4 linked regions of the Lytechinus pictus genome follow. The protein of the gene in region 2 purifies or fractionates together with the protein of the main gene of each other region. This does not show direct contact. Links are inferred from orthologs where the notes say so. Each region holds a gene or a part of one and is shown on either strand. Other genes may lie near its edges. The genes, in order: dnaJ homolog subfamily C member 8-like, splicing factor 3A subunit 1-like, U2 snRNP-associated SURP motif-containing protein-like and pleiotropic regulator 1-like.

The links.
Region 1: the proteins of splicing factor 3A subunit 1-like (region 2) and dnaJ homolog subfamily C member 8-like purify together in Homo sapiens (affinity purification with mass spectrometry; 4 studies listed by BioGRID and IntAct, with this or other methods). This does not show direct contact. The link is inferred for Lytechinus pictus from reciprocal best matches to the Homo sapiens genes SF3A1 and DNAJC8.
Region 3: the proteins of splicing factor 3A subunit 1-like (region 2) and U2 snRNP-associated SURP motif-containing protein-like purify together in Homo sapiens (affinity purification with mass spectrometry; 4 studies listed by BioGRID and IntAct, with this or other methods). This does not show direct contact. The link is inferred for Lytechinus pictus from reciprocal best matches to the Homo sapiens genes SF3A1 and U2SURP.
Region 4: the proteins of splicing factor 3A subunit 1-like (region 2) and pleiotropic regulator 1-like fractionate together in Homo sapiens (co-fractionation; 3 studies listed by BioGRID and IntAct, with this or other methods). This does not show direct contact. The link is inferred for Lytechinus pictus from reciprocal best matches to the Homo sapiens genes SF3A1 and PLRG1.

The regions. Positions count from the first base shown.
Region 1 is NC_087248.1:8,325,596-8,332,457, forward strand, and holds the start of dnaJ homolog subfamily C member 8-like, read left to right. Parts: upstream 1-3,861; 5' UTR 3,862-4,070; coding exon 4,071-4,148; intron 4,149-6,862. UniProt on the Homo sapiens protein: Suppresses polyglutamine (polyQ) aggregation of ATXN3 in neuronal cells.
Region 2 is NC_087250.1:20,509,186-20,516,698, reverse strand, and holds the start of splicing factor 3A subunit 1-like, read right to left. Parts: upstream 3,025-7,513; 5' UTR 2,911-3,024; intron 1-2,910. UniProt on the Homo sapiens protein: Component of the 17S U2 SnRNP complex of the spliceosome, a large ribonucleoprotein complex that removes introns from transcribed pre-mRNAs.
Region 3 is NC_087260.1:6,519,620-6,527,390, reverse strand, and holds the start of U2 snRNP-associated SURP motif-containing protein-like, read left to right. Parts: upstream 1-4,762; 5' UTR 4,763-4,811; coding exon 4,812-4,841; intron 4,842-7,771.
Region 4 is NC_087249.1:42,998,906-43,006,515, reverse strand, and holds the start of pleiotropic regulator 1-like, read right to left. Parts: upstream 3,004-7,610; 5' UTR 2,945-3,003; coding exon 2,898-2,944; intron 1,212-2,897; coding exon 1,075-1,211; intron 1-1,074. UniProt on the Homo sapiens protein: Involved in pre-mRNA splicing as component of the spliceosome. Component of the PRP19-CDC5L complex that forms an integral part of the spliceosome and is required for activating pre-mRNA splicing.

The sequences.
Region 1 (6,862 bases), on a different chromosome or scaffold from region 2:
TTCTATGAAAATGATATATTCCTTGTTGTTGTTGTTTTTTATTAAAGGCCATGGATATCCAATTATAAAACACATGCCATTGGCGTAACCGGATTCAAAATATTGAGGGAGTAATACGTGGTGTATGTGACAAGGTTTCCTTAAAGTTCCCAAAGAGCGAAGAGAGCGAGAAAAATTCTTGACCTTTAAAACTGAAAACGTAATTTTGTGATAGAGTTTTACAAAAAGTTCCATCATGATATTTTGCCCTTTTGTGTTGTTGGGTCGTATAACTTTTTATGGGGGCATGACCCACCAAGCCCCCCCCCCCCCCCCTCTTCCTCATTTGTACACTAGTGACAAATTAGCAAACCACTGTTTGCATAGAGTTGAAGTTCCCCTACAAAGCTTTTTTTTATCTTTGGCATGCATGTCTGATGTCTGGGGTACATCGATGATGATCATGATAGGAATGGTGTGGACATGAAACACCTGTGTTACCCGATGTCTTCTGCGGTTATTATTGTATGTGGCAATAGCTATATCGGAAAGCAATCGGATTAAATGATTGGCTATATTCTATTTTTATTATTTTACAGGATGAATAATAACCTATCGTCCACCCTGAATGGAAAAGTATTTAGTTGGGTCAAAGCTTCGAACATGTCAAAGAATACGCAAATATTTCATTGCCGCAATCTAAGGGGTTTACGTTGCATTGAAGTAAACATGGTCAAACAGCGCCATTATAACTGCATGGAAATTTGAAATATTGGACATAACTTGAAAAGTATGACGTATATGAATAATTTAATAGAGTTATTTTCATATCCTTTCAAATCCTTTCGGAGTGACCTCAGAGATAAACGCTTTCGGAGCCAGAGCAGACTGATTTACTGACATTGTTCTCTGAGCGAAAGGGAAAGAATGAAAACGAATTTTACTGTGTTTCACAAAACGTTTCCATTCTTACAAGGAAAGTTTGCTTGCAAAGACAATCTCTTTTTCCTCATACCATATTTTTCTTTCTTTTAAAGAATTTTGTTTTGATGAGAGCAATTCTTCGATCACGTCGATTAAAGCTTTAAACTACAAACGGTTTTTTTTTCACAATAATAATTTATAAAAAAATAAAAACAAAACGAACCTGCACCTCAACTAAACTTTGAGCTGAAATAATGCGTCAGGGGAAGGATCAATGTATTTTTAGTGAATTCCGCGCGGCGATTGACGTAGTGATATATACCGCAAAATGGTCATGTGTATTTGAGGTTTATTAGTTCAGAATTAAGCTCGCTACCATGTTGACAATTATGGGTTTAATAGTAAGATAATCAAATTCTACAGAATGAAGGGAAAACGACCCCACCCCCTCACCGCCAACAAATTACAGGAGTGAAAGTTTTGCTTTTAATTTCACAAAACAATCATGTGGCACATCCTGCTCGGTATGCAAATGAAGGGAATGATGTCATCACCTTTGTATATTTTAATTTTCTCCTCATTGGCATGAGAAAAAAAAAGTTTTATTTCTACCTGAACATGCGGAATTGCCATTGTTTAACGTCATCAAATTTCATAATTTTGTTTTAATAAATAATTATTATTTGGGGGAACCACGCTAGGGTTTATTTCCAGTTCGTCTAATGCCAACTCGTGTAATATTATTTGGTCTACCATCAGTTCGTCCACTCACCACATGGTCTACTTTCATTTACTCTAATGCCATTCCGTCTACTCCAAGTTGGTCCAATAACCATTTAACCATCATTTAACCATCTAATTGGACTAAGTGTTAAATTGCGCAAAATGAATCAAAATTAAATGGATAGTAGACGTAGACCAAATGTTTAGGAGACGAAATGGTGATTAGACGAATTCTTGATTGGACCAAATGTTTAATGGACCAAATGGTTGTTAGACGAAATTTTGATGGACAGAATGGCATTAGACTAAATGAAAGTAGGCCATGTGGTGAGAGGCAGTAGACGAATTGGCCGTTTCATTACCTCCACAAGCATGGATCCTTTCATTTCCATGCACATTTGATATTATTTTGCACAAGCTTTTGTTATTATAAATTTTAGCTATTTTACAATATTTACAATTCATTTTTAGTTGATTTTTGTTTAACACATTTGATTTGTATATCTATATTCTGATGTATGATGGAAATAAAATAACTTTCTTGATTGTCGAATCTCGAAGCTCAAAGAGTCAAGTTGGTCCTTAATCTGTAAAACTTGAAATTTATACTTCAAACAATGAGTATTTTTTTTGTTCTTATTTTTTTTTGGGGGGAGTGGTGTTAATTGTTCATGGTCGATTTGATACTGTAATTAATTGTCGCTCTGGAAATGCTCTCTTATGTCAGTTATTAATGGGCTGGGTGCATAAATTGCCATCATTGATTCTTTCGTTCGACATCGATACGGTCACGTGTGGGTCATTATCTAATGAACCAATTTCTTGCCAACCCCAACCATGGATGTACGACTAGACCTGATGTGACCGTTTTGCTGTGTCATTCCACCACATCAATGTCCATATAGACTGAAAATAATTGTATGGTGCAGTTTATATCCCTATTACTTGTATTACGCAATAGATTCCAACATATATTTGTTAAGCCATGTCTTCATGAGGTTTCTATTATTTTCCTGCGATGATTTTCGATAATAAAATGTCTAGACCTTTTGTACAGATGATAAAATGTACCATACCATTATTGAAAGACATGAGTTATATTAATCAGGAAAAGGGTACTTTAATAATAAATATTGATTCATTCAATCTTTCTACCCCTCTTCCCCGCCCCCTCTCTCCTCTCTCTCTCTCTCTCTCCCACGTTGCGACGAAATTTCTGATACTGGGAGATTAATTGCTTATTTGTATTTTCGAAAACAAATATTATTCATGCTCTCGGCCAGTGGCGTAATTATCTAAAAAGATGTTAGGGGGCTAGAAATTGTCTATCATGTAAAATTTATTTAAACAAAAAAATTGCGAGCGAGCAAACGATTTAGACACTTTTGTTACAAAAGTCCAATTTGTTACTAGATTCAGAAAATGATATATTTCAACCTTCTTTATCCTTTCCTTGCCCTTTTTTTCAATTTCTGTTTTTTTTTTGTTCGTGAAAGGAAGCCAAGCCCCCGCCAGTGCTCTTGGCCCCAACCACAAGCATTGGCTTTAAAAGTTTTCACAATCCTTTCTACTGCATTGTATTTTGTTATATTAAAGTTATATAGTCATATTTCAGTGGTAAATGAATAGGCGAAATTTGAATTAAAACAGAAAGTGATTTTTTATTCAAACTGAACTCGAAAAGGGCGTGTAATGAATGGGATTATAAGACCACAACGAGGGCTATCGATTGGTACATGTCGGTGTAAAAATTAAAGAAATAGACATTTTTGTCATAATCGAGGCTAAATTTATTGCATACATGTAAATCAAGGCTTTAATTTCATTTAAAAAAAAACGGAGCACTTTTCCCTCCCCTTCGCACATATGCAGTGGCGTATGCAGCGGGTGGTTACAGGTGTTCAACCCCCCCCCCCCCCCCCTAAAAAATGTCAATTTTTTTTGTTTTTTTTGTTGGTTAATTATCACTCACAACTGGGCGTTGTGGCGTGCGCCTGTAATCCAAGCTATGCGGGGAAGTTACAAATTGATGCAGAGGTTCGAGGTTCGAGCCCTGGTCACGTCTTTCGGATGGTGACGTTAAAGGTCGGTCCCAGACGTAAATAATCATATCTGATTGATACACGTCTGACAAAACTCAAATACACACACACACACATACTTCTATCAAAAATTCTTTCAAAAATTCTGCGTACGGGTACGCCACGTGCACTGTGCCTCTGTTCGCCCCCCCCCCCCAAAAAAAAAATGCAATGGATGAAGTATTAAAGAGGAACTGAAGTACCGTGTATATAAATGTGAAACATATAATAACACCTCATTAAAAGACAGCTAAATGATGAAGAACTAAGACTTAATAATTAAGAGATCGAGAAAACAGGATAAGGAGGAGCTGAGATTGTAGCTGAGCTTGAGCTAGATCTAGATGAGAAGAAACTTGAAAAATGGCTTCCTCCTCATCTGCGACGACGGCCTCGGGCTCGGGGCAACCCGAAGCAGCTTTCTCAAATTTTATGACTGAGGTAACTATTTTCTACCATGAAATTAATTTTAATCTTTAAGTGTTCTTATTTGTGAAAGAAAAAATAAAATCCTGTCCAGGAAATGCGCGTATTTAAGGTATAAACTATGTTGACTTCGGTCGTTATTCTTCTGTGTTGTCCCACGTATTGACTTTTGTGAGGTGCGATGAATGGAACTTTGTGACTGACTTTGGCTTTGCATTTGTGGCTGTTTTATGTTGTTCCGTGTTCGCTCACTAACTAACAGAAATACATGTACCTTACATCTGATATCCTTGGTCTATTTATACTATAGTACTTATAGGCCTAAGTTATGAAATTAGTCACCTCCCTGCCGGCTGCCTGTGTGTTTGCACTCATTTTTTATTCATTAGTACAAACAAAGTCAAAACAATGTGAGTGGAATTGGAAAGAAGTCGCCAGCAGCGCTCGCTGCCACTGACGAAATAAACGGCAGTGAATGGACTGGTGACTAAACCAGGATAATGCCCTATAGTATATAGGGGTAACCCACTCTAGGCGACACCCCAATACTTACCCGTGCTAATAAACTGGGACTCCACTCACGCGCGTTTGGGCCTCCCTAGCTTAGAACTAAGCACTAATATCACCTTAAAAACTAAATCTACAAGGTATGTATAATCTATTTACAACTTTAATAATGTTTAATCGGTACTCACCGGTTCTTTTGTTGCATTTTCAGACCATTTCTCACAATTCTTCGTAAATATTTGCGGCAAATTTTGTCGCCATAGACAGCTTAGCATCCATCTTTATTGATAAATGGAGCGCCCTTTACGATAGTTGTTAATGCCGCGGAGAAATCGTTAGGCATTTTGGCCTGTGTTCAAGGCGTTCTTTCTGTTTTATTTTTTATATTGAAGATTGTGCATTTGTTGAATAGCGCCGTCTACGTCAGGTATGAGATCGAGTGTATAAATACACTCTTCCAAAATAATTATGATTCCGACCTGGCGCTGTTTAACTTCAATCTCTTTCACCTAAATTAGCGATGAATGCTAGCATTATAAAATATATATTATTAACGTCTGACGAAAAGAATAACCAACCGATCAGCTGACGAGAACGCGAATCACGTGATCTTCATATCAGCTTCGATCGCGAGTCAGAAGAGAAGAGCAACTGCCCAGAAAATCAGGAAAAAGCCGTGAAAATGTAAGTTCCCCTTCATTTCTTTCATTTTTTGTTGTTGCTAACGATGCATTTACACTATAAAATTATAATTTAAATAAGAGAAAGGAATATAGCTTGTACTTGTGATATAATGTATAAATATCCTGTTCTCAGAGATTTCTAACCAAAAATACTACTGATGTCGCCTATGAGGTCCATACATGTAATGTTGGACCTCATTGGTACTAGGAGTGGGGTAACCTACGATATGACCTCTTACTTTTTAAGCAATCTAATAACATGAATAAGTAAGTAGCTAATATTTTTTGTTCTAAAAATAAATATTAAAATCTAACGTTAGACACCTATCTTGGGGCACTCTAGGCGACACCCCAATACTTACCCGTGCTAATAAACCGGGACTCCACTCACGCGCATTTGGGCCGCCCTAGCTTAGAACTAAGCAATATTATCTAGAAATTGTTAAATTGTAGTCATGAAATATGTTCTATTAAATAAATTGATAATGTTTAATCGGTACTCACCGGTTCTTTTGTTGCATTTTCAGACCATTTCTCACAATTCTTCGTAACTATTTGCGGCAAATTTTGTCGCCATAGACAGCTATACATCCATCTTTATTAATAAATGGAGCGCCCTTTACGATAGTTGTTAATGCCGCGGAGAAATCGTTAGGCATTTTGGCATGTGTTCAAGGCGTTCTTTCTGTTTTATTTTTTATATTGAAGATTGTGCATTTGTTGAATAGCGCCGTCTACGTCAGGTATGAGATCGAGTGTATAAATACACTCTTCCAAAATAATTATGATTCCGACCTGGCGCTGTTTAACTTCAATCTCTTTCACCTAAATTAGCGATGAATGCTAGCATTATAAAATATATATTATTAACGTCTGACGAAAAGAATAACCAACCGATCAGCTGACGAGAACGCGAATCACGTGATCTTCATATCAGCTTCGATCGCGAGTCAGAAGAGAAGAGCAGCTGCCCAGAAAATCAGGAAAAAGCCATGAAAATGTAAGTTCCCCTTCATTTCTTTCATTTTTTGTTGTTGCTAACGATGCATTTACACTATAAAATTATAATTTAAATAAGAGAAAGGAATATAGCTTGTACTTGTGATATAATGTATAAATATCCTGTTCTCAGAGATTTCTAACCAAAAATACTACTGATGTCGCCTATGAGGTCCATACATGTAATGTTGGACCTCATTGGTACTAGGAGTGGGGTAACCTACGATATGACCTCTTACTTTTTAAGCAATCTAATAACATGAATAAGTAAGTAGCTAATATTTTTTGTTCTAAAAATAAATATTAAAATCTAACGTTAGACACCTATCTTGGGGCACTCTAGGCGACACCCCAATACTTACCCGTGCTAATAAACCGGGACTCCACTCACGCGCATTTGGGCCGCCCTAGCTTAGAACTAAGCAATATTATCTAGAAATTGTTAAATTGTAGTCATGAAATATGTTCTATTAAATAAATTGATAATGTTTAATCGGTACTCACCGGTTCTTTTGTTGCATTTTCAGACCATTTCTCACA
Region 2 (7,513 bases):
CTTCCGAGAGCTGTTACACTGTAGGTCTACAAATTCATCTTGATTAAAAAAAATTGTCCATAAAGTGTCTTATAGGAAATTTGATGCTCTTTCTGATGGTATGTTTTTTTTTAAGTAGGGTGCCTCAAGCAACAGTGAACAAGAGTGTCTCAAAGGCGAGCACATAAATACTTGCATCGGCCAATAAATATCATGAATCTTCCCTTAAAGACCCTGACCGGTGTAAAAACAATCATATATCAAAATAAAGGTAATGATGATGGGTGATGATGGGTTCTTGTATAGCGCCGGTATCCGCCTCAGCTGGGCGCTCATGGCGCTTGCTCAAAAATAGGAAATATCTCACAAATTTCAATGTCTTCAAACAGTGCTTAGGATCATCATTCAGTTCAAGTACTGTCCTAGTAATGCTACAATTGAGTTATTCTTGCAATAATGTTGGAGTGGGGAACAGAAAAGTCTTCAGGTAAGACTCAAAAGTTGATTGGGATATGATTCATACAATACGAATATACCCAAAATATTACATATATCTCCTTCCAATAGTTAAAAATATTAAATAAAAATCAAAGAAACTGCTCCTCCAAAGTACGCTTCGATTGAGCACCCCCACGTCGCCTGGAAATGATGACGTCACGTTGTGTCAGGAGGGTTGTGATTCCATAGGTTTGTGTACAAAAGCATTGGGTATTTTCTTCCATTTCCATGTTATGAATCCATTTTTTTTTTCGTTTTCAGATGAAAATGGCACTCAAAATTATTCACTGTTCAAATTGTTGTAAACCTACAACTATTCACTACCTTTTTTGTGATTTCTTTGTTTGGCTCTTATTGGGCCTAAATTGTCAGGAAAAGTTGTTATACATAATCTAAATGCAGATAGAATTGAAATCTGCGCCAAATAAGCAGGAAATAAAATATGGCAAAAACTAGTTCAAAACTGCAGATTTCATAAATTCAAGCTTGTGGGTAAAAATATATGTGATATCCCTCTGTGATAGAAGTGAAGAGAATGAAATGCGTTATCTGGAAAGCAAAAAAATCACCCAGTTTTTCTGTGTACAAACCTATGGAATCACGACGCTTCTTACACAACGTGACGTCACGGTCTCGAGGCAGGTGAAAAGCACAATAAAGCCTATTTTCTAAGCGGGGTTCGAAACCCGATAATTGGAATATTCTTAAGCAAAATACTCAGCTGGGAAGCGGTGAAAATGCATAAAGCATACCTTGGTGTATTTAGTAGCTTATAAGCTTTCGATTGGTATATAATTTATCAATTTCATTTTCGGGTCCGGTCTGGATCTTTAACATTTAAGGTAGTATTCATGATATTTATCGGCCGATGCAAGTATCTTTTTTATCTAAGTTAGCACTGCTCATGTCATGATATTGTCACTGTCTATACGCATCATGTAGTTAGGCTACGATAACAAAGACGGCTAGGCAAGGTGGCGACAATAACAGACTGTTAGTACAGGTAAACGCTCCTCTACTTTTAACATTTTCAAGTTTTTTATGTTTAATATTATTTAAAAATATGACTCTTTAGTGCCAACAGGGTCCAAATGGTATTGTAGCCCATTTATTTTAGACTATAAATTAAAGGGTAGACAATGGCACCAGGGGCCCGTTTCATAAAGGACTTGCAACTGGTGCAACTTTGCCATTATGGCAATTACCGTGGTAACCTTGATTATGATTGGCTGCTGAGCCCTGTTACCATTGTAGTTGCCATTATGGCAAAGTTACAACAGTTGCAAGTCCTTTATGAAATGGGCCCCTGATTGGTGCTGTAGACATGTGTCCGAAATATCAATAGGTGAATTGGCCTCAAATTTTCATTCTATATTTTGAGTGAACAATGTAGTTACATGTAGCGACATCTTCATATTTTCTGGCAGCCAAGTTGATTATCTATCAATGTGACATGTTTCCACAGCTCCCCAGAGGCTCAAACAGAGCCAGGTCAGCATAAAGACTTTAAAATGCTTATTTTCAGCCACTAACCCACACAGTATAGCCTAAGGGGATGGGCCAAATGCTAACTTACATGCATTTCCAGGCGCATTTTATGGAGTATTTAAGCCTTATTTTTCACTATTTAGGAAATTTTGACGTAAGCTTTGAGCAATGTCTTTGACAATCATGCTAATAAAGAATATATTAAGGTAAAGTTTTTTAGTAGTAATGGTGTTTCGTTTTTTTCCGTTGTCCTACCTGTTTAAAATTGGGCTCAAAACCCAAAAGAAAACATATATTTTGGAGCAACTTTATGACTTTTTTTCTTCTGTATAGTGAATTTTATTGCCCTGCATTTCCCATTAAACTAAAAAATGTAGGCCTATATTATAATTGACTTTGTATTACTTTGATGTAAAGACTTGCAAATGAAGTGATATATAACAACTTGGCAAAATATTCAGGAGCCTGAGTCCTGGCTGTGCTAACCTCGACTTGGGCTGAAATTAAAATGAAAAAACTTCCCGTAAAAAAAAAAAGAGTGCCATTTTTTTTCTGAGTAAATCAGCCCGTTTTTAATGACAGAAATTTTCCAGTTTGGCTTCAGACACTGATTACTTTAACTGCATCACAATAAAGGGCAAGGCAACAAGGATAAATCCATAATAACATCGAACAATAGCATTGATTAGCTGCCTTGAGTCGGACTCTTGTCCTAACTCCTAGATTATATAGTTAATTTCACATGACATAAATTTCAACACGTCGGACCGAAGCCGGTCGAAAGGAACACTGCGCAGGCGGGATATTATCATTAAAAGCAAAGCCAAAGGGTACAGCCGTACACAAAAGCAGTCAAGCACTCTTAAAACTCTCTCTCACATTGAATTAATTCGAAGAACGTTCACAAGTATTTTCTTCTAATATAATCAAGCAATGAATACTTACGGAAGGTCTACACAAGTGAAAAACAAGTAAAGAGTGTTCACTTATTTCCAACAGAATCGTTGTGCGTGCAATTCTCGTTTTGTATAAAGCCCTAGCCCTCTATAGTCCAAACAGGAATATTCGACAGAGGATTTTTATAATTTTACATAAATTATTTCGAATTTTGTGAGACTGGAGTTGCTGCTGAAACTGCATAAAAAACACAATATCAAAAAAAATTGTTCGCCGCCCCCCCCCCCCCTTGTCCGCAGCTCCTTTCGTCATTTTTCCTCTTGATTGAGAGTTGATAGTTCCATGACCTAGACTTCTTATTTTTTCCCCCTTTTTTTTCTTAATTCATTATTTCAACTTTGTGCACTATCTCTCTTGTATCCTTCCTCCGTTCACCCTGAAAAAAACTTTGTTGTAAAAATAGCAGAAAAAATAATAAAAATTATTGGTGAAGGTTTGAGGAAAATGCGTTAAAGAGTAAGAAAGTTATTAGAGTTCAAAGTTTTGGATTTGTGACGTCATAAACGAGCAGCTGCCCCATGTGTTATGTAATATAAAATGCATGAATTTCAAATTTTGCATGGTTCCTGATGACTTAATTTTGTTTTCTATTCATGATCGGGTGTGAAATGATTTGTCTATTGATATACAAAAGGTACAGTGAAAACCATTTTCAATTTTCTGAGAAAATGACATTTCATTGATTTTTTACCATTCGCTATGTAGGAATGCTGCTCGCATATGACGTCACAAATCAAATAATTGAAATTCTAATAACTTTTTAATTATTTGATGAATTTTTCTCAAACCTTCGGCAATATTTTTTACTATTTGTTCTGCTATTTTTACAATAAACTTTTTGTCAGGGTGAACTTCCCCTTTAAGGTCGGAGATCGCTGGTAACAGTTGAAAAATGTAAACACTTCCTAAGAGTTGTTAGAGCTGGTGAAGTTGCTGAGGAGTTTTTGGCGGGTTGTGTGAAGGTTGCGAATGAAATATAAAATAAATGTGTGGAGCTGGGTTTTGGTGTCATTACTATGGTGCACAGGGGGAAGAAAGAGAACACATTCACTTTTCACATATCACTTTTCTCAGGGGGTACCCACTACCCAGCACTGACTCCGCCCCCCCCCCCCCCCGTATCGACGCCCCATATAATCAACATTTTCCATGTATAAAGTATATCCACGGCAGAACCTTGCTGTAAATCTACCAGTTCGCACAATGAATTTACTTGATGAGAATGAATTAATTATAAGGATAATCGCACAACAGAGGTTATATTTTCAACAGCCCTTGAACCCAAAAAAGTGCGTCGATCACCCTTTTTTCACAGTCACATACAGGGGCCGCGGAACCGGGGGGGCTGGGGGGGGGGGGCTTCAGCCCCCCACTTTTTTTCAAAACCGTGTACAAAAACGTAAAAATTACCATATGATTGTGATTTTTAGCATGGTCAGCCCCCCACTTTTGGCTCAGCCCCCCCCCCCCCCCCACTTTGAAAACCGTTCCGCGGCCCCTGACATAGATCGAGGCAAAATCAACTCCAAATTAACCAAATGTAAAACGCTATTACCAATGACCTACTATCGATTGGTTTCTAGTTGGTGTCGTACTTGTGAATGTACGAGTCCATGGCGGTTACAGGAAGGGGCACAACGCCCCCCCCCCCCTTGAGAGCCATAACAAATCTTTGTAAGGGGATATGTTGTGCATACGCAAGTGAGGACCCCCCCCCCCCTTTATTTATTTATTTTGTTTGCTTGTCAAATATTTCATTCATCATCACCATTAATTTGGAGTGAAGCCTAGCTTTCTTGAGGCTTAGTTTTTTTCTGTATACAATGCCCCCCCTGGAAATTCCTGGATTCGCCCCTGGTATAATCATGTTGTCTTAAGTACGTTCAATGTATAACGGAAATCTCACGATTATTATTATTTCCCATTATTCTTCCAACACTTTACTCTTAATTATTCCACTAAATCGTGTTGCATTTGGAAATTTATGATGAATGGGGATAATTTCATAAATATTTTGCTTTAACGCGTTGTCAGATCTGACAAAGTTCCTTGATTTTGATTGGCTGTGAAGCACTGCTACCATGGTAACTGTCGGATTAAACGTCTGACAGGTCATTTCATCAGACGCTCCCCTGAGAATCAGGAGCATGCTAAGATATTTTTTTCTCACCATCTTAATTGTAGCGTGTTCATCAATAACATTAAATGTTTATATAATATTGATACAATCACCTGAATTGTGCGATGAACCAAAATTCCACACTTTTATGCATTTATGATTCTCATCTTATATAATTTGATACAATTTTAATCATTGCGGAGTTTTTTTTTCGGGGGAGGGGTAAATCTCCCATAAACACCCGCTTACTTCATCCGCCCCTTTTTATGGGGGGCGTTCACAATTTCCCTTAATATACGAAATATATGAAACATTTGAAATAGTGTATCTTAAAAAAAACATTTTATTTAAAACGAATATATTGCAGACCCAATGTCGGATCGGTAGGGGGGGGGGCTTAAAAATAGACTTTAAAAAGTGCAAGATAGAGGTGTTTAAAACCGGCTATCTCTCTCAATTGTGATTTATTTCAAAATCGAAATGGCTCAAGTTTTCTACCGCAAACTTAATTGCTAATTATAATTTTAATTAGTTAATTTCCTGTCTTTGTTACTATCATGGTCATCGTAATCACGTGATAATGAGAAGCTTGGCATCGGGCCATTATTATAAACAGGGCGGGATGGGGGGGGGGGGCTTGCCCCTTAAATTCTTCAAAACTTCCCTTTTATTAAAGGGGCTCCTTTAATATAGAGATATTTACAAGACCAAGCCAAAACAAATTCCATTTTCTTTTCTTTTTTTCGCCCCAATTTTTTTTATCCTTTCCCTATTTTCATTCTCTTTTTAATAATTTGTTTATTTCTTCGATTGGAAAAAAATATGGTTGGCAAACTCTGTCCCCCTTCCAATCGAAATTCATCAACCACCGCACATGCAATTACACCCAATCATTGCAGGCTTCTATTCATTAAGTACGTTTTGTCTACATGCCACCTTTTAAAATAGAGCGAATTAGAATATCTAAAGGGCAAGTCCAATCCAAGAGGCAGTTGGGTTGAATAAAAAGTGTAAAATGACACAAGCATCAAAGTTCATCAAAATCGGATGTGAAATAAGAAAGTTACGAAATGCTTTACAATCACTTAATTAAAAAACAGTTATATTTACGCCGTGCTCCTATTGTGGGGGACTGATGGCATCACCTACTCTCCACTTATTTTGTATTATATTGTATGAAATATGAATTTTAAAAAATGTTTTCACCCAAATTTAAGGTCATTTTCGTCCACGGAAAATTTGACAAGCAAGAAAAAAATGGTCCTCGTTTTCAAGGGGGGGGCACATTTGTGTTAGAACGGCAAATTTACATTGTAAATGTTTATTATGCCTCTCAAGGGGGAAGGCATGGACCAGATGTGCCCCCCCCCCCTGGATCCACCAGTGGAATTGTATTTTGTATTTATGTTTTTGTTATTTGTATGTTCAAACAAAAAATGGATATAGAAATTAATGAAATAAAACCAAAATAAATTCAAACAAGGTATTCCTGAACACATGCCATATGGAATTGTCATTGTTTAATTATTTTGTGGTTCAGTCAAGTTGGTCATTATTGTAAAAATAAATAAAAATCCTTACTTCAAACTAAAAAAAAAAAAGAAAGAGTGAGAGGCATCATCGACTCTTACATTTGCATATCATACATACTGAGTTATGTTTTGTAAAAAAAATAAGCAAAACTTTAAAATTGCATATTTTTCTTATTTTACATTCTGATTTGAAATTTTCAGATTTATGCTAGTTTGATTTTTCTCTTTTGATTCAAATCAACATTTACTGGGGTGGAATAAACCTTTATTTACAAATAGTCTATATATGCACAAAAATGAAAAGTACAGGTCATTCGCCTTCCTCTGATTACACAATCCTGAAATTTCCACGAAAAAAGGCAGAGATAATCTTCGAGACTAAAAGTGTTGACAGACGTCTAACCACGATTAATACAAGTGAGAGATGTATTAATCCATATGGATTTAATTCTAATCACGTGCAGCATTAACGTTTGATTTTACACTGGTACATAAATGCGTAATGCACTTTCCTGCCTTTTAGTATGCGAAAGGGATCGGATGCGTAGACAACTGCAGTTCGTCGAATGCAGCTAGCTGATAGATAGGGATACCTCACGCAATTCACATTGCTTTGTTTGTAGACTATCGGAGTAAGAAGGTGAGTTTTCAATATCTCAATTACTCTATTTAATTCATTTGCTAGTCTGCTGTGCAAACCCTTGACTCGAGTTAAGGGTCTGAATGTGCAGCCTACTGATGCCTTTTGTGTACTGAAGGCCCTCTCTCAACAGCAAGTTTTGTATGTGTTAGTCTTTGCGTGGAAACCCACTTGTTGATCAAGGTTTCAATGAGGGTCTGTGCCTGCAGACTAATCATTGGCGGCACATGGGATATATGAGAGGCAAGGCGAAATATGACGACATATTAAAAAAAACATATTGACTAATTATCATGATCA
Region 3 (7,771 bases), on a different chromosome or scaffold from region 2:
ACCTTGCTACGGCCCTCTCCATACAATTGATCTCAAATATAATTATGAAGGAGACCCGTACACGTACATCGCCAAGATTGATCACATTTATATATATATATATATATATATATATATATATATATATACACATTTACACATTTATATATATATATATATATATATATATATATATATATATATATATATATATATATATATATGTATATTTATGTATATATATACATATGCCTTAAATGTATGTTAAATTATCTTATGTAACAATCACGTGTAAAAAAAGGCAATCGAAGACCACCTTTTTTAATGTGTTCATGAAAAAAAGTCATCACTTTTTTAAAAGAATAAATGTGACCAGGTGGGGATTCATAAAGCTATTCGTAAGTCTAGAGTGACTGGTAAACCCTTCTTACGCTCTAAAAAGAAAGGATCCCCAGTCGTTCTTAAAGCCGCTCTTAACTTACTATCAGCTTTGTGAAACTGCCCCCTGAAAGCATAGAATTTTAAGCATTTGGGGATTTTAACTTCTCATCAGAATGTAGGCCCTACTAAAATTATGTGAGCGGGAGCTAACATTTCTTTATAAGGGGCGGATCCAACTTTCGCTAACTTGAGGGGGTAGGTGGAAAAATGTTTTCATCTGTATGTTTTCCCCTGGGGCCCGTTGCAGAAAGAGTTGCAATCAATCGCAACTCTAAAAATCATGCGCAACTTGATTTTCGACCAATCAACAGCGCGCATTTTGGACTTGCGGTTGATTTTTTGACTTGCGTTGAAACGCAACTCTTTCTTCAACGGACCCCCGATCGGATATTAAGCACTTTTTGTAACCGTGAACGTGATGGGTATAAACAATAAATTGATGCTGGTGCGAAACGGGAGATGAAAATTTTTTTTTTAATTCTGACCTCAAATTTGGAAAGTCTGTAAGCACTTTTGGTGATCAAGAACATTTGGGTATATATCTCAAAATTTTATGCAAGCGCAATGCGCGAGCTGACAATTTTTGTATTTCCGACCCAAACTGGACATTCTAAGCACTTTTTGTAACAACGAAGAGGTTGGGTATCTATATAAATATTTGATATTCTGAGTTTCTGACCCAAAACTGGATATTCTAAGCACATTTTGTAAACCATGAACAGGATGGGTGTCTATTATTGTGCGAGCGCAAAGCGCGAGCGCGAGCTGAAAAATTGATATTCTGACATAATATTTGGACATTCGAGTAAACATTTTTGGTAATCATGAACAGAATGAGTATATATAGCTAACAAAACATTTTATGCGAGCGCAAAAGTGCATGCTGAAATTTTTTGATATTTTGACCCAAAGTTGGAAATTCTAAGCACTTATATCTATCCATGAACAGGATCGATCGTCACCTTACTAAACAACTGATGCGAACGCGAAGAGCGAGATGAAAATTTGTGATATTCTGACCTTAAATTTTGACTTTCTAAATCACTTTTGGTAATCATGAACAGGATGGGCATCTGATTGTGCATTTGTTATTGTTATTGCAAATTGTTTATCGAGAATGTTCTACATTTTGTTCTATTGTCACTGTATATAGGCCCCCTATTGTTATTGGTTTTATGATTATTACGTTATTTAGTGTTTACCATAAACACTTATTTACTTTTCTTGTACAGTCATATTGCTTGCAATGGATATACATGTATCCATTTGTATCGGTTTGTATGGTCTTCATTTTATATCTGTGTAATTATTTCCTATATGTGATGTTGTAGGCTATCATTGAGTTGAAACTTGAACTTGAACTTGAACTTGATGTTTTGGGTTTTTTTTTCTCGTATGTCGGTCTAATTCTATCTCGGAGCTTAACATTCTTTGGATACATGTGTATGTTTTTTGTTTTTTATCTTCTTTTGATAGTGATTTTTTTTTATCAAACCGTAAACTTTGTGAATGTGTTTTTTATTTTTTTCAATAAAACTAATATATATGTATATATATATATATATATATATATATACCTGCAATCTTACCAGGTTGCGCAATCTTACATTATATCATGTAAACTTACAGGAAATTGGTATTTGGTGTATGGAACCTTACAAATTTCCTTGAATAAAACAGCATTTTCTCCTTTTAAAACAGACCTGTTCTGTTAAATTGCAGAAAAAATTCTTGTTTAATGAATTTGCAGAATGATTGTTTTACTGCTTTCTGCAAAATCTTCTTTTTTCTGTACTGATTCACTACTGAATCACGTTTTTCATATATATATATAGAGAGAGAGAGAGAGAAACAAGGTTGAAACTTTCATGCTTTAAAGGAGAATGAAACCCTTGAAACCAGCTGAATCCATATCAAAGAGAAAAATCAAAGAAACATATTGTTGAAAGTTTGAGGAAGATTGAATGAATAATAAGAAAGTTATGAGCATTTGAATATTGAGATCACTAATGCCATGTAGATCCTCTCATTGGCAATTCGACCAAGATCTGTGATGTCACACACGTACAACTCCCTCATTACTTTAGTACTTATTTCACTTATATTCTCACTTTTATAGAGTCTATCACAAGGTGAGGTGTTCTCTTTATGAGATGACAAGTACCAGGCGCGGATCCAGGAGGGGGCCGAGCCGGCCCCGGCCCCCCTATTTTTTGACAACCTGCAGAAAAAAGTGTACTCTTTAACTTGATAGAAATTATGAAAAACAGAAAGAAAAGTAAGAAAGAGGTAGCATACCCATGATGTGTAATTTACAGCCTCGTAACGGCCGGCCCGACCCCGAAAGGAAACAAGAAAAAGGTGAGGGAAGAATTGGAAAATAGACTTTATATAAAAGATTTCGCTCGCGCTTCGCGCTCGCATTGCCTGTGTAATGAATCCCATTCAAGAGAATTAAATGGCACTTATATATCCAGTTCTGAAATCAATTTGCACACAATATTTTAGCTCGCACATCAAGCTTTCATTATTTTGTTTGATTTACACAAATTGTTAGTATATATCACAATTTTCAGCTCGCGCTGCGCGCTCGCATTGTTTGATTTGTGAGTTACCTATCCTCTTTGAAAAATTCTTACCAAAATTTGTCAAAATGCTCCTTTATCATGTCAGTATATCAAAAAATTAAGCTCGTGCTTCGCGCTCGCATTTAATTGTTTGAGACACACAGCTTTGTTCTTTATTAAAATAAAAACGCGCTTAGACTGTCCAGTTTTCAGGTCGGAATATCAAAAAAATTTAGCTCGCGCTTCGCACTCTCATTATTTAATTGGTGATACTTGTAATCCTCTTCATTTATCACTAAAAAACAGTCCTAATTGAATCCTCTTTTCACGTTACTATAATAACATTTCGACTCGCGCTTCGCGTTCGCATTGTTTAGTTGGATACTTATCTTTTTCATGATTATAAAATCTTCTCAGAATCTTCAGGTCTAAGGACATAAAATATCAAAGAATTTGAGCTCGCGCTTCGCGATCGCATTATATATTAAGACCACATGAGATACCTTAACTTGTTTATAACAATAAAAACTAACATATACTTAAAACTTCAGTCTTTAGTTAGGACTACCCCCTGATAAACCAACAAAAAATCTGATTATATAGCGGCCAATCGAGAAAAATGTTGATGAAAATATTTTTCGGCCCCCCCCTATTGGCGAAAGCTGGATCCGCCCCTGAGTACAGAGGTTTCACAACATTATATCATTGATGAATCGTTTGTCATATGATTAGAATGAGCAAAAAGAGATGTTTGGGGGTATATTTTCAGTGTCCAAAAGGGGAGAGTTGTTCATCTGTGACATCATAGATATTGGTCGCATTGCCAATGGGAGGATCTCCATAGCATTAGTGATCTCGACATTCAAATGCTCACAACTCTTCTATTGCTTGTCTTATTTTACTCAAACTTTTGTTGATCTTATTCTTTGATTTTTCTGCTTTCACAAAAGCTAACTTGCTCCAAGAGTTTCATTCTCCTTTAATCCAACAAAATTTATTGAAGTCCACAAATTTTCGACGAGTATACAAACCGTCTTTATCGAAAATTTGTGGACTTCAATAGATTTTGTTGGATTAAAGCATGAAAGTTTCAACCTTGTTTCTCTTAATATTACTCCAACACGTGGAATATCTACCGAATATATATATATATATATAATTTATATATATTCTTATAATATATATATATATATATATTCTTATATATATTATTATAATATATATATATATATATATATATATATATATACATACATACATATATATTTCAGTTTGACGCTGATCCACCACTGTTTGCATGGGCTTAATTGCCATATGGGCCATATGGACGCACCATTAGATAGGCTGGAAGTTTGGGTTACTTAATTGATGCAATTTTTTTTCCTTTCTTCTTTGTGTAAATTTTTTTTTCCTTAGTCCATCGAAACAAGTTTTTTTAATTGCCCCTTTCCGGTCCTCTCGGATCAGTGATTTGTCAGTGGACCAATTTTTTTTTTTTTTTTTTTTACTCTATATCTGCATGGTGAGCCGGATGGTGAGTCATTTTTTTTCCTTTTTGCTCATTATAGCAAGTCAATTTTTTTTTTTGAAAAACTTGCAGCCCCCTGGATATATCTAATGGTGCATCCCTAAAAGGATCACTCGATCTAGGGCCAACCATGTATTGTATTTAGGAGACATAGTTTTGATAAATGCATGCAGTATCCATTATCCAATGTGCAGATCTGGCGACGAGCTCGCGCCGCGCCCGTACGTACCCGGCCGGCCGGCCGTGCGCGCGTGCGATATGTAGACGCGTGCGTTTCTGGTCGAAGGTTATTCATCATGGCGGGCCTCGCTCCTGGAACGGCGAAGGTGAGACGAGCTTATTATATTTTATCATCAGTTATTGTAAACTTATTGTAATATTGATGGTGTTTCTGAGTCTTTGAATGTTTTTTACGAGTGTTGAATAAAGATTATATTTCTTGACACCTTGTCCGAAAGGAAATATTGCAACCAAGCACGCAGTCATGTCACTCAACGCAACTGTGAACTGGCATGACTGGTGCCGCGCCGTGATGGAGTGAGTGAGTGAGACTGACGTGTGTCACTGCATACAGTGCATGCAGGCCCAGGCTAAGTTAGGTGTGAGCGTGTCGATTCATTGCACATGCACATGCATGTCTGCTAGCTGCCTGAGTGTAAAATGTGAGTTATACGACTGAAAGAGAGTGACTGAAACTAAGTTAGTGTATTTGTCTGAAATGAAAGATGCCAGCAGTACCAGTGGTTGCCCCGGGGACCTCGACACGTCTATTTAGACAGTGTCGAGGTCCTGAATGCAACCACTCGTTATCACCGGAGTACAAAACTTCGCGATGTTTGGCATTAGAAAACCGATGATCATAATGAATTAAAAATCTAACGAGTAATATCAATCTTACCTAAGCAAACTGTTCCTAAATCAGCTTACCTTTGAAATAAGAATAATGAATACAATTCCATGAAATCCTTCAAAAGAGCATCAATTTTCGGACTTTTGTTCCAATCGCGAGATCGCCATGTTTGAGGTAAAATTCTGCGCATGCGCATATGAATATTTATAAGATGTCGTCACTGCATGCCTTTACAGCACAGTTTAATGAATATGCATGTAAGAGTGAAAACTTTCGGCAAGTCGTCTCTATTCAATTAAATCGTGATTTAGGCATATAATTCAATACCATTTTTCATTTTTTTTTTTTTTGGAAAAAAATAGATCTATATTTATGAAAAAAAATATTTATTTCATATATATTTTTATTTTGTTACATTTTGTGTTTTTATGATAAGTTTTTGTTGTCATTTGTTATATTCTTTCTTTCTCCTTTTCATTCTTTCTTTCTCCTTTTCATTCTTTTTTATGCTTTGTTTATGGGAAGGGGGGGGGGGGTAAAGCGTGAATGTTCGCTTGGTGTGTGTTTTATTTCATATAACTTCCTCAAATTATTTTGATTTAATGATACTAAAAATGAAAAAAATATTTATCAATAGTGTGCTTGTGTTTTAATATATTCAGAGATTTCTAGATCCGAATTTTTTTAGTCTGTATTATTATTATTATTCCCTTTGTGATTATAAAAAATCCAACAAATATTTACAAATGGATTCTAATTTTACATTTAGAATAACCAATTCATGATTTTCTTAAATATGAATTCTGATTCAATAACGTAAATGATTTCATGTTATTTATCTTTTTCACATGTTATAACAATGAGGAAGGATTGAATATGGTTTTAAAACAAAAGGAAATACTTAAAAACAATTTTGCCTGCTTTAAAAAGAAATGCTAAGTCAAGATGTTAATATATATTTATAATTTAAAAAAAAAATCTGCCGCTTTGATAATCACCAATCACCATTTGTTGTTTAATTCACCGCATGGCAGTAGCATAATCAACCCCTCACCTGCCCCCCCCTTTTTTTCGGGGACGAAATATCCTCAATTTTTGGTTGAAAAAAATTTTTTTTTGCTTGTCAAATTTTTCATTGGCCCTGTGCCCCCCTTTTGGAAAATCATGGATCCGCCCCTGATTGAACTCATTTATATGGAGCACTTCTACACTGTCAAAAATATTTTTAACAACGCTGTTTACTGTGAGAATTGCATAGTAGTTGTTTAAACATTTTAAACAAGTGTTTAAAATTTAAACAATCATGTTTAAATCATTGATAATTTAATATTTGAATTTAATTATTGATAATTAAATATTTAAATTTAAAATGTGTGTTTTAAGATTTTAAATACTTGTTTAAACTGTTTAAACAATTACTGTGTGATTCACATCGTAGACAGCGATTTTAAATTTATTTTAACAGTGTATTTGAATGATTAGGAACTTAATTAATGGCGCAAAGTAGACGACAGGAGATTGATGACATAAACTTCCATATAATTCTATAGTAATATTGTACTGTCTTTTTTTATATATACGGCACAATTTTTATAACTCCCCCTTTTAAATGAGGAACAGGCCGTCCGTGGTCCCCAAATAAATTATGACCGACTAGTAAAGAGCTGAAAAACGGAAGAAGTAGCCTTTGTGGGTATACGGCATTATCATTATAGAGTTTACCACCCTGACCTATAAGGATCGGGAACGTTGGTGATCATTTTGAATAAAATATGACTTCATATACTTTGACCTATAATCTTAATACTAATTCCGTTCCCAAATATTATTCTTTAAAACTTGATGCCGCCACAAAACAAACTAGCAATATAGCCGAGATGAAAAAACGGGGTAATAAAGAAAAGGTAAACAAAGGAGAAAAACAAGGATTTTCTCGCAAACATGCGCGGAAGTAAAATTTTAGAGAGAATGAGAAAGAAAATCCCGCAAAGCTTTCTTTTTCGCCATTGTTTACCCCTTCGCTATCACCGTTTCTCTTCTCTTTTTTTTTGGGGGGGGGAGTTAGGGTGGGGAAGATCATCCCACCGCCTCCTTGCTACGTACTTGTTATAAAAAAAAGGAAAAGGTGCATGATAATGAGATTTGCATATATTTTCATTTCATTTATTTTAAATTCTCATTAAAACATACAACATACAATTGAAATTAAAACTAAGGATACATGCACAGTATACAAAATAAACAAAATGGAAAACATAACAAGTGAGAGAGAGAGAAAAAAATATGTGGGAGCCAGCATTGGATTCCGTGATATTTTTAAAATCATTTTGCATCACGGAGTCCTCTAGGCTAAGCCAGCAACAGAGCTGCCAAATAGTACGATTTTGTCGTATTCCGTACGATTTT
Region 4 (7,610 bases), on a different chromosome or scaffold from region 2:
ATATTCCCGGATATTGAACAAACTATGTTGGTTTTTCTTTTAAGTAGCAACAGCATTTTTTACTCCATTTTTGAAAGCCATCTTGGATTTTTGAACAAACCGGACCACTGACTGTCCTTGTACTTTGTCCCAATGTCTTATTTGACCATTGAAACCATGGTCTAGACACCAAAATCATATCTCTCAGGTGGATATGAAATGAACTATGTCCATTTTAATTATCAACATCCATTTTAAACTCCATTTTTGGAAGCCATCTTGGATTTTTGGACACACCAGACCACTGGCTGTCCTTGTAACTTGTTTCAATGTACTATTTAATCCTTAAAACCATTGAATAAAAAACAAATTTAGATGAATTGTGGATTTTCAGCCTACAGCAGCCATTTTGGGCGCCATCTTGGATTTTCCTGGTACCCTGGAGTGCTAATATTCACTCTAACTTGTATAAATAAATTATTTTACCAATTGGACCATGGAATATGAACCCAAATAGGATTCTAGGGTGGATAATGATTGAGTTATATCCATTTTTAGTGAATGGCGGCCATCTTGGACGCCATCTTAAAAATAACCACTTTCCCGGATGCGGATTTTGGTAGATTTTTAGTATGTTATTTCTAAGGTCAGATAGTACAAAATACCGTTGAAAAATCATTTGTTGCAATTTGTTCCGGGTCAAACCATATATTGACCCGTCTACAGTAGGATTTTTGAAATGAAACTACTCAGACCTTAATCATATAGTGTAATTGAGCGACTTCTATAATTTCAGCCAATTCTTCTTTATTGGTATGATTTTTACGAGGTCGCCATCATTATCAAGCCTTATTGCTCACGATGGCAGTCTCCTGCATTCTTTTAAAACTGTCATTTTGTTTGATATTATTGAACCGATGCTTATAATGTAACTATATTATAAATTTATTATATATATTACATGTTTACATATATTACCTTGTAAACTTATATCTGATATATTCCGTTCGACCGACCGACCAACCGACCAACCAACCAATCAAACATTAATGTTCATAATGCCTAAATTATTATACAATCAAGTCATCGGGTTACCTTGTTCATACTCCTGGCTCCCTTCTCTTATTTCTCTGTGTGATAGTTCAGCTATTCTCTGGTGTTCTGTGTTAGCTGTAAGATTCTGTACCATCCCATACTGATCTCTAACTTTGCAGGCAACCTTAACCGTATCTCTGTTAGCACACACAAAGTAAAGGATATACATGTATATATGGAAATATTTGGCACGGAAAGTGACAAAAAAATGTCGGCGTGTTTCTACAGAGAATCATTAAGAAAGGTTCTTATTCCGGAATCGAATAACTGTATCGCCCTTAAACTATCCTGTTTCTACAGAGCGAATAATCCAATTAACTCACATTCCGCGTTGCAAATAAACGGATAAACACGGTTATGAGAAACGGTGATTTGCGCGATGTGGTTTATCAATAAACCGCATCGTGCAAAATACGGTTTCTCAGAATCACCTCTGGGAGGTGTTTATGAGATGCAGTTTATCAATAAACTGCATCGCGTCTGTTTCTACAGGGAAGTTTTTCCAGAATTCTGGATTGATAATGGATACTTACGTGGGTAATACCGTTGAATGGTTCTCTGCAGAAACAAGCCATTTGATTACAAAACTTTATGAAAAACATCTCATGATTGAGTAAATTCCAACTATTCCAATTGGTAAAATTTCTCCTTATTCTCAGACCTGCCAACCTTCTACAAAAAAAAGTATTCTTAGAAGGAAAAAGAGTATCTTTAAAGATTTGTCTCAACGTAACAATTGCCAGCCTGTTGTAGTGAGATCAGTAAAAAAAAATATGTGAAATGACTCTACTTGAAAACTTGATAATTCACCATTTTAACATGTGCTCGTAGGCAAGAATTTACTTGTTCTTTTCATGTAACAAGTTACTGGCCTGACAGTGATTTTTACCGGTCTGGGACGGTCGGACCGGCGTTAGTGTCGCGTGCTGTGTGTAATCTATACTCCATGATCGGAAATTTAAAGAAAAGTATTTGCGTATTCATAGCAAAAAAGAGGAACAAACACTCTAAAAAGGGAACGGTTGCATGTCTAAAGCTCTCACTGAATGTCTTCTGCATTCAATCAAGTACTTGTGTGGGTTATTGTTGATCAATATTGACAAGATATTATAAAGCTGAGGATGTTTTTTTTATGGTTGATGATCCTTTTCACCTAAAAACTTCCGGCATTAGTTTATGACGTGTACTTCTAATTCCATCAAATACAACTTGGTTTACTATTGAAAAAATTATTCCATCCTTTAAAAACAAATAGTGATTTTGTTCAAAATTAAAGATACTATTACATGTAGTTACACCCTGATTGTACACATATTATGTAACCAGAACATGCACGTAGATACAAGCAAGGTGTAACGATTTTATCTCTTTAAGTGTATCCTTATATTATTTTGGAATAGGGGAAATCAATAGAATAGAACTAAAAATCAATGCAAACCCTGCATTTTGAGAGTGATTTTTGAAAGGAAGTCATCCATGACATCACAATGATCACAGTAAAAATAATGCACATTATGCTATTGAAATTGATAGTAGCAAATAGTAGTGCGCAGCGCGATGCTTGAATACACATGTAATACTGTCTCATATTACGGGGTTGAAATCATCACTGGGAATGCGCGTAACAATGAGAACAACATTAAAACAACAACAGCTTGTTCAATATAGGTTTGTCTCACAAACAAATTGACCAATCAGATTACAGAATTCATGAGAAATATGGCCCACTAGGAGATAAAAGGTTTATCATAACATATGAAAGTGTCAAAAACAATATGCCCATACCAAAGATGTACTAATAAAAAATGATGTTTGATACTTACGCATGAGGATCCCTGTTAGGAGGATGGGCATTATCAGCTATGAACATTTCATGTGACCTCTTGAGTGATCGAAACACCAGGGTATGGACGGACTGTTTACTGACCTGTAAGTTAAATAAAACATTGACATTTTACCCTGAATTCATGCAAATTCAGCCTTTGACTACTAATCAGATTTCATCATGATAAATACCAGGTATTGAAAATTATCTACTACACAAATAATTATGTTTTTGAGTGCAATGGACAAAGTACTTCAAAGATGAATGATCCATTAATCTTATTCATTACATTTTTCCCTGAATGAAGTATTTTGTCCATTGCATGATTGAAAAGAACGTCCATTATTTGATTTATACGACACCTAAGAATAGATCCTTTTTCATTTTGAATTTATGACTTTTGATGCAAAATATGCTCATGCAGTGTGAGCTCAGTCTGTTGATTGTCTTGTACATACAACCGTCGTTTACATACAACCGTCGTTTCTATACAACCGTCGTTTCTGGGGAATTATTTAACAATTTCTGACATTTCACTATAATCCCTATTCACCGACGGTAGTGTGTTAGCAAGGCTCGACATTAGCGGTGGCCCGGGGCCACCAGAAATTCACCTCGGGCAACCATTATTGAAAAAATGTTAAGTTTTGGTGGCCCGAATAGAGCAACCAATAATTTTCAGCGCAATTTTTCTCCCGATTTTGCATGCATTTATCAACTTCCTACAGTTCAAATTGCAAGCCAATTCGTCATGCGCCCTTTTTGTTAATCTACACACACACAAAGATTGCATAGTCATGACAGTATGTAGGCCTACCGCTATAGCATACAGTAACTTTTATCCAGCTGTGCTGGCCGTCTGGCGTGAGCTTTGCATGCATGAAACTACTGAAGCTAGCTGTGCGCTAGCAGACTATTCAGACTTAGGGAGCTGCGATACGAAATGTTGCTGCTAAGAAATCTTCCACAGAACTTTGAAAATCTACGTCAAAGTCACATTTTACACCAATGAAATGCCCTTCTACAGTCCACATTACTAAAATCTGGTGTAACCTGTTTATTTGCAAGCATTAAAAAGAAGAATTATGACCTCTCTTTTGACTCAAAAAGACCAATTTCCAAATGCATTAATACACATCACAGTCCCACATGTGCATTTGTATGTATGTTGATACTTGGTTTCTTTCGAAGCTGTGTCTTTTCTAGCTAAAAATAAACAGACAGTTTCTTTCTTTCTTGTTTATAAATGACTTCTTAAACCACTCTTGAGGAAGTTAATACTTTGGGAAGGCATTTCATTGATATGAAATGTGAATTTTTCCAGCATTTTGGCAAATATAGGGAAGGATTTTTTTCTCACACTGTTTTTTCCAGATATAACTTTTGCCGTTGTCTTATTTTTCTCTAAATTTTTTCTTTTCTTTTTTTTCCCTGTTCTTTGTTTTTTTCTTTCTCCATTTCCTTTCTTTCGTTTTATTTCACTTATTTATTTTATTATTTTTGTTTTCTTTTTTTAATATACTATTCTAAAAATTATTTTTGTTTGTTTCCCCGTTTTATGCATTAATCTAATTTTGCAGCATATTTTTCTGTGATTTTCTCCTGCTATGATATGCTGGAAAAGAGAAAATAAACTGGATTTGGGGCCTGCATAATCTACATATAGGTTTTAGGATTAAAAAAAGAAGAAGGGAAAAATCATTGTTTTGTACATCTATCTGAGTTTGCTATGCACTATTTATTTACTTACTATTATGAGTGTGTGTCTATACAGAGATTTTTAAAAGTCCACACAACCTGGGAACAATACAATTCTTTTATTCTCTTTCAATCATTTCATATTTACAATAATAGAACAATTTATATATTAACACAAATCAATTAGCAAAGTAAAATAACAGCAAACAAGATTTACATACAAGATGTATTAAGTGAAAGTAACTTAGTGGTACTGGCTGCAGAATTAATATTTCAGAAGTTTGTTTTATTCATTTTTAATTCATGTTTTTCTTTTTCTTTTTCGGGCCACAAAAGTTTAATATCGGACCACAAAAAAAAAAATTTTGAAGGTTTTGGTGGCCCGAACGGGACACAACAAAAAAAGTTAATGTGGAGCCTTGGTTAGTGCGAGCCTGCATGTGTAATCAGGTCAGCAATTCGGGCGACCGGGTTTTGACCAGATTTTAATTTTTTTTTTTATTCTAAATGACATTATATTATCTAGAACGAAGGCCCACTATTTTTTCGTTAGACTCTAATCTTTCTTTTGATACTATATAAGTTCTAAGAAAATATCAAAAATATACGTTACCGATGATTTATTCCTTATTTTTTTAATTTTCCGCCGGAGAGGAAAAATGGCAGCCGTGTGTTGCGCTTTTATCAAGGCTTTCCGATTAAATTTTCGATATCCTGGCCAATCAATGCGAGCGACAAGTTCCGAACGCACGCACATCTACAAGCGCAAAGCAGCGGCACAAATCGCGATATATAGCGACTGGTAAATACGTCTGTAAGGATGATGACGTCATCCAAGATGGCAACTTACGTTGACCAAAGAAAGGATCGAAGATGACTATGTTTCAATCATCATTTGAAAGGAATTAGCGGTAACTGCGGTCTGAGGTACGATATTTCTTAATTTTATATTTTTTAGTAAGTTCGAATGTACTTTCTTTTTTATGTGACATTTTATGTACAAAAATACGATCCGAAAATTGGGTTTCTGCAGAAAGTTAGATCTAACGTTACTGCTAATACGTCGGCTGTACGTACGGGCCAACAACTCTTCAGTCTATGTATTGGTGAGTGGAGCCAACGCAGACAAGTCGCAGTTCAGCGGAACAACCAAAATACAGAGACTGAAGCTTTTTGGTCTTACGTTAGGCATGGCCCGTGTTTTTGGACCAGTCGCCCTCGACTAACCGACTAAAACTAAGTTGCTGTCTGTCATGTCCGTCTTTCACTTTCTTTTAAGCCCGAGTCATATCGATTATTTTGAAAACCGGTGTTCGACATCTTTAATTAGATCGATCATCGATGAATCGAAATTTGAAGGTGGGGAAAATCGAGTCATTGTTTTTGCTCCGGCCGGCCGTCGATGCAGCGCTATGCATGCACTACATGCACTGACGGTCTACACTGGCTGGGTGAGCGTTGCAAAAGCAGATGACAGAGCAAAGTTCGTTTGTATTTTCCATGATCAAAAAACACAAAAAAGGCCGGGTAGCAATGCAGAATTCTTCCCAAAATATCTTCAACAATGATATTTGCAGATGATAACATATAGGTTTAAAATGAAACAATATTAAAGAATTGAATCACGCAGAGTCGATCCGAATGATTTTCGGTCAACTAGCATTCGCAGTCCAGACTCGCACACACCAGCCCCGTCCGCAGCCCCGTTCACTCACTCTCCCGAAACGACAGGCGTGCTTGCCAGCGCCATCTAACAAGTGCAAACAGCGGGGAGAGCGCTGTAACTTGCCTGAGATTGTGTAGTTGGCGGGGTAGTTGGATCCAAAATTAGCTCCAAATAAATTGATGGAAATAAATACGTAATTTTCTCTGGATGGTCATTTGAATTGGTATTCAATGCTGATATAACGATTGTGAGGAAAGATTGTGGAATATGAGTTCTGACGATGTTCGAGACTTAATCCTGATAATGATAATCCATTTTTTTTTTACACGAGCTTGTGATCGAAATAAATACGAATGTCTCGGATCGAGCTCTAAATTCATATAAATTATTATTGGATGTTAAATAATTACAATTTAATAAGATTTTATGGCCATACTAAAAATATTGACGATGTCAACAAAGTATGTTATTTTCATATGGAAGAATTAATAGTATTATACTGGCATTATTTTTATTTTTTATTCCATCTCTGGACGTCTCCGAGCTCCGAGAAAAGAAGCACAATGCGCATGCGCTTTCGATTACGTCTGACATATTTTCCATTCATGAAATCAGAGCCCAAAGTTGGGCACAAACCACTCACACTAATACGAGGTTAGTATATATACTAACCTCGTATAAGGGACCGTGTTTGACCCTGGATTTCGAAGTAGTCGGCAAACATCGCTTCATTGCTGAAGTAATATTTGCCGAAACTCCTTCTCGCTACGCACCGGGGCTCTTTCCGGTAAGTAGCAAAACATAACAAAATTATACATATGAGTTTGAAATAATTTCATTATAAAAAGAGCAAATTTCGCTTACCTCGGCCTAGCAAGTGACTTCGTTTGTCTCTTCTACGAAAATACAAGGAAGCCCGCTAATAATTTCACAACCTTGATTCAGCTCCTCTGTAATTTTATAACTGAGTCTAAATTCTTTGAATGCTCAATTCTTAACATAATTCAAGATTACTATTGGCAGGGTGCTACACAACTTTTTTGAAGCACTTGCCCAGTCAGGCAAGTAAATTTTCAAATAGTTGGAAAATACTTGCCCGAATATATATTTCACTTGCCCGAAAAAATCCTTCAAAACAAAGTTTTATTGCTTCAAAACAAGTTATAGCCTTACAGTTTTACATACCATACCATTGACGGCTTTAAAAATACATTTTTCAACATGACTACTGATGTACCTTGTAGTTGCATTTCTTTTTTAAATGATTTTTATCTTGAACATCATGACAAAATAAATATGCTCTTTAATTAATTTCCTAATCTCATATATTTTCCATATATTTTGGAG